3 linked regions of the Ovis aries genome follow. The protein of the gene in region 2 purifies or fractionates together with the protein of the main gene of each other region. This does not show direct contact. Links are inferred from orthologs where the notes say so. Each region holds a gene or a part of one and is shown on either strand. Other genes may lie near its edges. The genes, in order: CTNNB1, USP4 and EDC3.

Region 1 (3,655 bases), about 37 Mb from region 2:
AGCCAAGTACAGCTTCAATGTACCTCTGACTCCCAAAGATCACTCTTCCCAATAAGGCGCCCAGCACTCTGGGAAGAGGGAAGAAAGGAGTAAATGTGCAGGCACTGTGTCAGTGTTGCCCTTCAGGTGCTCCCTCGATTTTTGTACACCTATGTGTACCTGGTGAAAATTTAGCAAAGTTTTACCACCTACTGCTAAAAGTCTACTGAGTTGGCAGGAGAAAATCCACTCACCTCCTCCAAGACTTTTCAACTGATAGCCTATATGGGATAACGAAGTTAGCTTTTGCAAAACATAACTACAGTCTGCTTTCCCTCTTTCTGAGTTTTAAAAAAGGTTATAACTTTGCTACTGCTAATTTGCAGCTTTTATATCCAACTTTACTTTTATTATGACACAAAAGCTCCTTTCTTCCCAGAGAAGAGATTTTAAAAGGTACCCTTTGCATTCTGTTAAGCTACCTCATGGAGACCGGCCGATATCCAAAGTACTGAGTGGAGAAAGCCCAAGTGCCCTATGAGTGCATTCTAATCACAACTAGCGACATCTCAAGATCTATTCTGGAAAGTCTTGTTCTCTAACGTGATCAAGTAAGAGACTCTGAGTCTTAAAACACATGCTGGGGAATCATAAATCTTTACTTAATAATGAAGCTACTTTTAAGACTGAAAACTTGACATCAACGTTTCAGACTATTAGAAACAAAAATTTCAGGCTAAGATTACAAGTAAAGATCCCTGAAACACCATGACTTATTCTTGTTGATATTCTTGTAAGTCCATGGAAATAGTTTAAACCACTCTTGGAAGACAGTAAAAAATGTGTTAAATATTTATAGTTATCTACAAACAATAAATGCCGGAATCTTCCTACACAGTTTGTGGAAACATAAATTGATACAACCATTATGGAGACGAGTATGGAGATTCATTTTAAAAATATGAATATTACTACCGTTATGACCCAGGAATCCCACTACTGGGCATATACCCTGAAAAAACCATAATTCAAAAGGACACTTGTATCCCAATGTTCATAGAAGCACTATTTACAACAGCCTGGACATGCAAGCAACCTAGATGTCCATCAATAGATGAATGGATAAAACAGCTGTGGTAGACATATACGGTGAAACAGGAGCCTTGAAAAGGAACGAAACTGAATCAGCTGTAGTGAGGTGGATGAACCTAGGGTCTGTCATACAGAGTGAAAGAAGTCAGAAAGAGAAAAACATCGTAGATTAATGCATATATAGAATCTACATGATGAACGTCTCTGCAGAGCAAGAACAGAGGTAGAGAAGAACTGGTGGACCTAACGGGAAGGAGAAGGTGGGATGAACTGAGAAAGTAGCACTGACATATATACGCTACCACATGTAAAACAGCTCACTAGTGGGAGGATGCCTGAATACCCCAGGGAGCTCAGCCTGAGGGGTGGGGGTGGGGGGGCTCAAGAGGGAGGGGATGTAGGTAAACTCACAGCTGATCCATGCTACTGGACAGCGGAAATCACCACAACATGGTACAGAAGTTACACTCCCATTAAAAATAAACTTTTAACAATATATGTTTATAGGTAGAACTGCAGTGGGGAATAACAGGCTCCGAAATCAGACAGACTTGGATTCAAATTAATGCCTCTGCTACTTTGGACAGAGGTGAACCTTTTGTATGGACAAGATGAGACCCCATAGGAGTAAATCACACCCCACACTCCCTTTGTAAGATTGAGGAGGCAGCGATGTGAAGGATATGTCAAGGGAACTATCACCAGGGGCCATATTCCTCCTTTCATTCTCCGCAGCCACAGAGACATGGTGGTTCTTTAAGCCAATAGCAAGCAGCCCTTCAGGAAGCTGGAGAATGGAGGAAGCCAATGACCAAAGTAGTTCAGGAGCCTATGGATTTACGCATTCCTTTTAAAAGGCCAGGGGTCACTACTAAGATTGACCTACCACAAACTGCTGCTGTGTTCCACCCATAGATGTACGACGCTGGGTATCCTGATGTGCACGAACCAGCAACTGAACTAGTCGTGGAATGGCACCCTGCTCACGCAAAGGCGCGTGATTTGCTGGACAAAGGGCAAGGTTTCGAATCAACCCAACAGTAGCCTGCAGGTAAGAAGAAAGAGTGGAGAACTGGCATACAACAAAGTCATGTTTAGTCTAAAACGCCTACCACACTAAATCCATCCCTATCACCTGGATGAAACGGACGACACAAACACTTTAAACCCCTACCCTCATCCCACCCGTATTTCCTGGTTGCAGCTCCTCATCAGCCAGCCCCCAGCGCCGAGACAGGCTGCTAGTAATAGTCAGAAGTTGTCTGTTTTCAATTCTGCAACCTTCAACTTTGACAGTTTACCTTGATCAGAGGCCAGTGGGATGGTGGATGTAGGAGTTTAACCACCACAGGTAGTCCGTAGTGAAGGCGAACAGCGTTCTGGGCCATCTCAGCCTCCTGGTGCCGGCTGGTCAGATGACGAAGGGCACAGATGGCAGGCTCAGTGATGTCTTCCCTGTCCCCAGCACGGAGGACCGTGCGCACAAGGGCCTCTATGCCACCCACTTGGCACACCATCATCTTGTTCTTATAATTATTGCAAGTGAGATTAGAAAGAATTCCAGCTGCACAGGTGACCACATTGATATCATCTGAGCCTAGAAGCTGAACAAGAGTCCCAAGAAGACCTTCCATCCCTTCCTGTGGAGATGAAAACGGACACTAAGTACACATTCAGCTTGACATTTACCAATCTACTCTGAATGTACCTGTTTAGTTGCAGCATCTGAAAGATTCCTTAGAGTCCGAAAGTACCTGTTTAGTTGCAGCATCTGAAAGATTCCTTAGAGTCCAAAGGCAGTTCTGAACAAGGCGCTGACTTGGATCTGTCAGGTGAAGTCCTAAAGCTTGCATTCCACCTAAAAACATTAAAAAACATCTAAGGTGATGGCCATTAGCTCACAATTCCTATCAGTACTAAGTGTGTACTTTAGTCTCAGAGGATATCCTTCTTTGTTGCCAAAGCTTATCCCCTCCATCTAAGTCCTTTATTTTCTTTCATTTTCTGGAATGCTGCTCTGTTTCCCTCTCTTTTCTAATTCACCTCAGTTAGGGACAACTTGTTTTATGTATCTATTGTTTCTTCCCTGTGTGGAAAAGCCTTCACTATCTCCAGTCTCCCTGTAGGTAATACTCCTATTACTTATTTCCTTTCATCCAGTCATTTCAGGAATATTTAATACCAGGCCCTGTTTTGCACTGGAGCTGTGTCAGGGAGGCAAACAGTCTAAAAGTCATACCTTCATAGAGCTTGTGGTCTAGCTGGAAGCACAAAATAAACAAATACACTATTAGAAAGCTAAAACTATATGTCAAATGGTGTTAAGTGTACAAACAACAAAGACAAAGGAGGGGGCTATAGTTTAAAGTAGGGTAACCAGGATACCTGACTATGAAGGTGCCATCCGAGCAAATCCCTGAAGGAGTTCATGTAAACTCACAGGGTGGAAACACAGTCTAAAAAGACAGCACCAGAATGCTTACTCTCGGGGGCTGTATTAAAGGCAAAAGATGCTCTTCAAAGATTCACAACCTCCTCTTGTTCAGGACCCTAATGAAGGACATTTACACTGCAGAGGAGTCTA
Region 2 (2,852 bases):
AAAGAAAAATTGTGCCTGTCTAAAAACTGGGACTCTTCTAGAGTGGCTACTTGCAATACCTGTGATCATACCACATCCTATAGCACTTACTCTTCTCTAACTTTTCTTTCTCTGCAAATTAATTTTGATATCTGTATTCATTCATACTGGACCCCTGTATTCATTTTTAATTATTTTAGCATACAGACGTACTGCTTGGGCAGGTTACTTAGCTTCCTTATGCTTCAGTTTCCTTATCCAGGTTAGGCTGGTTGTGTGCAGACCCACACTGGGTCCACAATTGGAACACCGTGATTGAGAGCCATCTTTGTTGCTGTTCCGCCAAGCATGGACAGCAGGGTCAGCCCCTTGGCACCTTCTCTGTCACTTTGTCCTGTGTCCTTCACCACCGCTTGGTGCAGTAAACACTGCAGTGAAGAATAGTTAAACAGCCTGCCAGAGCCACACAGCAGGTCGAGACCAGAAACCGGATCTCCATCAGACTGAGTCGTTTCCGAGAGTCTGAGTGAAGCAGGAATCGGGTATCACTGCTGAGACTGTTGTGAACACATCTTGCTCAGAAAGTGTAAAATCAAAACCGGAAGTGTTCACTCTGGAAAATACTTGGACGGGTGTGAGGAATTGTTACTGAGCCACAGATTCTTGACTCAAGAGTTTCAAAGACAGATAAATTTAAGTTTTCTTGTTCACATCCCAACTCTGCCAACCCAAGCCCCCAGTGTGTCTCTCACTGGGATAACCCCACAGGCTCCAGAGGCAGTGAGAGACAATAGTAGACTGTCAGTCCTGGATACAGTAGGGGTGTTTGACTTGGCATGTTTTTGACAGCTATTGTTTTGCTTAAATCTTAAAAAGTATCAGCTCCTTTTATGGGTCCCCTAACTCTGAATTAGTGCTCATGGCTGTTTTCCCCAAAGTTACAGTATAAAGGCTTAGTCCCCAGCAGCTCCATTTTTACCCTTTTAAGTGCCTTTTTGAGAAGGGAAGATCTTACTTTTTTTTACGGATGAGTTCTCTTTTGGTTGTTAGGACACAAGCTGTAAATTACCTTTAATTTCAGACTCTGGATATGTGTCATGTTTTGGAGTTGTTGAGTGCCAGCCTACTGAGCTAGCCAGATCACCTCTCTTGATGACCAGCTAGCATATTCTCTTCCCTTGGCAGACACTGCGTACGCGAAGAACAAACTGAACGGGAAGTGGTATTACTTTGATGATAGCAATGTGTCCCTGGCCTGTGAGGATCAGATAGTGGTGAGTAGGCCCTCATACCTGGTTCCAACTCTTACCTTTAGGGATTAGAGCTGGGAAGAGTCCCCCAGGCTAGTTGGTTATTGAGTCATCCTGCTGGGACAGTGGGAACTAAGTGCGGTAGAGAAAGAATTGACTATCGTTCCTTCCGGGACCCTTCCTAAAATGAGACACTTGACTCTCCCGAGTCTGTCACAGGGCTCCTACCTTTCCCGGCACCCTGGGCATGGTCAGCATGAGCCAGCCTTAGGTGGTACGGCTTTCACCATCACTTCAGTGTGTGGATGCGCAGGACAGCGGATCCCTGAGGGTGGTGTGTTTTGAATAGAGACCAAAGCTTGCGGGGAATGGGTGATCGTTCCAACCTGTGAATGGATGTTGTGCCTCGTGTGTTTTAGACGAAAGCAGCTTATGTGCTGTTTTACCAGCGTCGAGACGATGAGTTTCATAAGACACCGTCACTCAGTTTTCCTGGCTCTTCTGATGGCAGTGCAAGACCAAGCAGCTCACAGCAGGGCACGGGGGATGACGAGACTTACAGCATGGACACCAACTGACCTGCCCAGTGCCCCTGCACCACAGCACCAGTGCCACCCCCCAGGAGAACACCTTTGACACTGAAGACTGCTAGTGTGCCGTCTAAAAACCAGATGAGGAAATTTCCTTTTATGAGCAGAAGAAAAAAAAAAAAAAAAAGACCCTGTTTGCTCAGAAGGGTTATGTCAAGAGGCTGAATTATTTTTTTTTGTACAGGTGGTAAAAATTTTCTGTAAAACAGGTAGAGCTCCAGAGTTGGGGTTGGCGGTGGGGAGCACACAGTGGAGAGTGGCGGATTCCAAAGAGTGGAGAGGAACACACTGTCATGGAGTGGGGGGCCGCCCTGCCCTCCTGGATTTCGGATTCTGGTGCTGGTTACTGGTCCTCCCAGTGGTCTACCCACAGTAAATCAACCTCAAGTAAACTTGATGTCGTCCCCTTTTCCCTTACTGTGCACCGAGATAGGTTTATAATACCAAAAAAGTAGCCACTGATGCCCCTTTCTGTTTCCCTTTGAGTCACCTTGAATTGCCAGCTTCCTTCTCCCTAATGATGCTTGGTGGTAGGCTTCCTGCCCTTCAGTCTTCTGTGGAGCCTGGCAGTTCTGTTCTGTTCCCAGCATCCTTGATGAATTGAGACTGTTGGATATGGTCTGGCACTTGTACTAGGTCTCACTTAAATATCAGGACACGACACTGCTGGGCGCCAGGTCTCCCGCAGCCGTCTCTCTCCGGGTTGGCTTCGGAATAGGAGCTTTCCTGGGCTTGGAAAGGGCTCCCGTTCTGCCGGGGACTTTGGTTAGAAGTGAGATCCCCGCCCCTCGGCCTCGGCCACGACCCCTGTGGTCTGATTTCCCCACCCTTTCCCCGGGGCTTACGGCCATTGTTGCTGTCCCCTCCGTGCGTGCGTGGGCCCTCTGCTTCCCTATCACGCTGCGTGGGTTCAAAGAACGAGGTCATCCATGCGTCCCTTGTCTGACCTTTAACCCTAGCCTTGGGGGTTGGGCTCGTTAGTCCTGGACACGCGCGATCAGCTGATGAGAGCGCGCGACGACCGACCGTTGGC
Region 3 (3,655 bases), on a different chromosome or scaffold from region 2:
ATGTGAATAACACTGAGTAAAAACCTGCTTCAAGACTTGTGCCTTGAAGCCGGAGCAGAGACAAAATCACTTGTGGGAGAAACTGCTCAGCAAGATAACTGCGTGCTCACTCTGTTTCCAGCACAGACCCTGCCTGACAAAAGGACTTCAATTTCACTCCTTATCACTGCTGAGAACAAAGAGAAAAACCAGACAGATGACGCTACAGGACGTCTTCTCCCCTCAATGTCGACGCTCCAGTGAAATCCAACTGGCTGCGACACACCACAAGCCGCCATACCTGAGTTCTTGGCCAACGTCTAGCACATGTGCTTTGCAGTATGTCTGTTAATCACAATTGTGATTTAAAAATATAAGAGGAGGGAACTTTCATTTCTTTCATTAAATTAAACAAAGTATGAAGACTAAGCTGGGAAAATGAAGTACATAGTAAGAAAAAGTTCCCACGTCTCCTGTTGTCTACCTTGGCAAATGTTTTTTTTAGGTTCTTTTGGATCTGAGAATCTTTCCTGATTTTTGCAGCTACTGTCTCCCTTTTAGCCACTTCACTCTGAGGCAGGCCATAATCTCCCCAAGCTTAGGAACCTCCAGGAAGTCACATACAGCATGAGCCAACCACCTCAGCTTCCAGAGAGTTACCAGTAGAAGCAGCTTATTTTTTCACTGAGGGCAGTAAAAAGGAGAGCAGTCAAAAGTGGATGGGTGGCAGGATCTAAGTATACTGCTAGCCTGCTGAATGAAGTTATTTGCCTTAACATGGGTGGTTAAAAAAAAAGAAAAAATTAAAGGAATCCATCAAGTCACACTGCTGGTATCACTTAAGTAATCTACGTTAGCAAAGAGGCATGCCTATCAGAGTCTGAAAGGTTAAGAAAAACTACTAATTTCTATCTTTTACTGACAATCTGCTTATTTTCTTTTCACATGGAACCTTTTACACCCAGCAAAACCAAATACAACAGAGCCCCACTGATGTCTACAAAAATGCCACACCGTATCTGATTTTCCCCAAAATGAAATTATGCTGTCTCCATAAATCTCCCGTAACTGCTACTAGCTTTCAAGCTACTGCTACCCTATTTTCAAGACTTCAAGCCAAAATGATTATTATCCTTATTAAAATGAACATGATTCCCCCTTTAGCTCCCAAATCACTCAATAACGATAGTTTCTATTTGTATTCCAAGAAGCCAAGTTAATAAGTTTGGGCGGAAGGGACAGAGACAGGGATGACACAGACCACCTGTCCCACAGCTGCCTCAAAGGCCACATTTGAAGAAAAGTTTCTTATGCTAAAAGAGAGATAAAGACTTTAAAATTACTGAGCTAACAGACACAGTGACCTATACATAACTACCAAGGTACCAAGTATAGGTACTACTACAAGATTACTGTCATTGAACTTTATGACTAGCTCCTTAATGACCAGGGCCAGCAGGAGATGAGGACAGTATAGTACACAAAGGTAATTTATGGAAACCCTACTTTTAGCCAATGGTTTCAACCACTCAGCTCTGACCATTTCTTACCCCAGCAAACAACCAGCGCAACAGCTGAAATTCTGGTAAAATCTACAGGCAGTAATAGGAAAGCCAAAGTGAAAACAGATCTAACTATGTATGTCAAGCTAAAGAGTTAGCCTCTATGCCTTTAGTTGTTAACCATAACCTACTTAATAAACAGCAGACCAGATCCTGCCAGGCACAGGATATAAATGGGTGTGTAGAAAAATCAGCCCCCATCCCAATCGAGCAGTAAGCAGGATGATAAATTGGCCACAATCTCTAAAAGACGATATAATGGGCCAATGACCATGCCACTTAAGCCACTTCCTACTACAAGGCTCTGACTCAGAATCTGCATCTCTCTGATTCAAGCACCAAAAAAAAGTGGGGCGGGGGTGAGGAATAGCCAGTGGGGTGTGCGGTTAACGTACCTGTGCAGAACTCCTTGCTCACACTGTGGGGCACTGTGATCCGACGGTAGACAATGGGCTCTGACTCCAGGATGTTCTCATCGTGGCGGTACCGAGCAGGCCTCTCGTTTGGGATGCCCCGGGAACGGGTACCGCTTCTCCTCTCATAGGTATCAATTTCCTCAAACACAGCTGCCTTGTCAAAAAGGGCCAAGTTCCCTTCAAAATCAAAATCTGTGTCTGGGATCTCCTCAATATCATCCCCAAAACACTCATCATCTTTATTCTTCATCTGGCCATTCTTTAAGCCACTTTTCTTTGGAGTTGCCTGGTTTGGGTGCCTGCTACTAGATGACCCTGCAGAAAAAAAACAGGGACTAAAGTCAGTATGCTCACACAAAGTGCTCCGTGGGGAACACAAATTACCACAAATCTCATGGAATAGTAGATTTCATAAAGTACCCAAGTAACAGTGAATATGAAATACACAGTACTCCTGAAAATCTGAAGTTCTGCCCTTCATAAAGGAATTGGTAATGATCAAGGCTTTTTTGACAACTGACTATATCAAAAAAGTGGAGGGCAAGAATACAGCAGTCTCTCCACACAAGTCCAGGTGGTCTGATTCTGAATGTCCAGCCATTGATTAAGAGAGAAATAACCAGAGTAAAAGAAGGCCAAGTCCTCGTAACTTGAAGTTCAAAGAAAGATTCTGGCCAACTGGCTCTGAATCCCATGCTTACCAAGCAAGCCATTTTCTGATTTTTTAACTCAGTCTCAGGCTAGACCTCAGCAGGAAGGGAATCCCTGGGTTTAGACAGATTACAGATCTTGAGACGGATATACATCTGTCACTATAAGTTGATGTATTTTGACTTACAGGCCTGTGTTTAGATCTTCTGGTGACCTCTTTTCTTAAAATTTTATCACTCTGGGTTAGCAATTTCTGAACCATCAAATGATGACAAGGACCATACTGACGTAATCCTGTAGAGGCCATACCAAGGTGCATATCAACACCACAGCACTCAAGTCACTCTCTGTCTCTGAGACTCTATCTGGCCACCACATGTCAGTCAACTACTCCTCCAGCAGCAAAGACCCCACAGAATTCTCCAAACCACACCATCCCAGAGAATCCTGAACTGAATTTATAGTTTGATCCCCATCTGACCACCCCAAAAGGATGAACCAGGTGACTGGTATGCCAAATGGAACCTTCAACATAGTCTGAATAAACATAATGTACTTCCTTTTGTAAGACTGAGCTCCTCAATTTTTAAAACACTCAAGTAGAGGTTAGGATGATCATGAGCAAACCCCCTCATACAGATCATCCCAACTATACTGCTCTAACTTCTCACAGCAACTCCCTTCTATCCAGTGGACCATGAGTCAGGAGACCTAGGACCTAGTTTCAGTTCCGTTATTAACATGTTATATAATCTTATATCTATCATTCAACTTCTCAATTTCCTTGTATGCAAAATGCTCACTGTGGTACCCCTAACAGGGTTTCTAGTACACAGCAGTCCGTCAATAAATATTTAACGAATAAATCCACATCAGCAAGATTAATTACAATTATTCTGCAAGATGTATACTATGCATATGTAACTCATGTCTAAATCTTCCTGGTGCCAAATATTGATATGGAAAAGGGCTATGCTGGCAGTAAAGATGAGATTTAGGCCTCAGAGAAAAATCGAAGGCTGACCAAAATTATAAAAGGAAGGAAGA

What was found.
Region 1: the proteins of USP4 (region 2) and CTNNB1 purify together in Homo sapiens (affinity purification with western blotting; 3 studies listed by BioGRID). This does not show direct contact. The link is inferred for Ovis aries from reciprocal best matches to the Homo sapiens genes USP4 and CTNNB1.
Region 3: the proteins of USP4 (region 2) and EDC3 purify together in Homo sapiens (co-immunoprecipitation; 3 studies listed by BioGRID and IntAct, with this or other methods). This does not show direct contact. The link is inferred for Ovis aries from reciprocal best matches to the Homo sapiens genes USP4 and EDC3.

The regions. Positions count from the first base shown.
Region 1 is NC_056072.1:13,860,746-13,864,400, reverse strand, and holds part of CTNNB1 (catenin beta-1), read right to left. Parts: intron 2,930-3,655; coding exon 2,826-2,929; intron 2,712-2,825; coding exon 2,373-2,711; intron 2,117-2,372; coding exon 1,958-2,116; intron 1-1,957. UniProt on the Homo sapiens protein: Key downstream component of the canonical Wnt signaling pathway.
Region 2 is NC_056072.1:50,848,622-50,851,473, forward strand, and holds the end of USP4 (ubiquitin carboxyl-terminal hydrolase 4), read left to right. Parts: intron 1-1,164; coding exon 1,165-1,253; intron 1,254-1,648; coding exon 1,649-1,807; 3' UTR 1,808-2,211; downstream 2,212-2,852.
Region 3 is NC_056071.1:31,688,219-31,691,873, reverse strand, and holds part of EDC3 (enhancer of mRNA-decapping protein 3), read right to left. Parts: intron 2,273-3,655; coding exon 1,937-2,272; intron 1-1,936. UniProt on the Homo sapiens protein: Binds single-stranded RNA. Involved in the process of mRNA degradation and in the positive regulation of mRNA decapping. May play a role in spermiogenesis and oogenesis.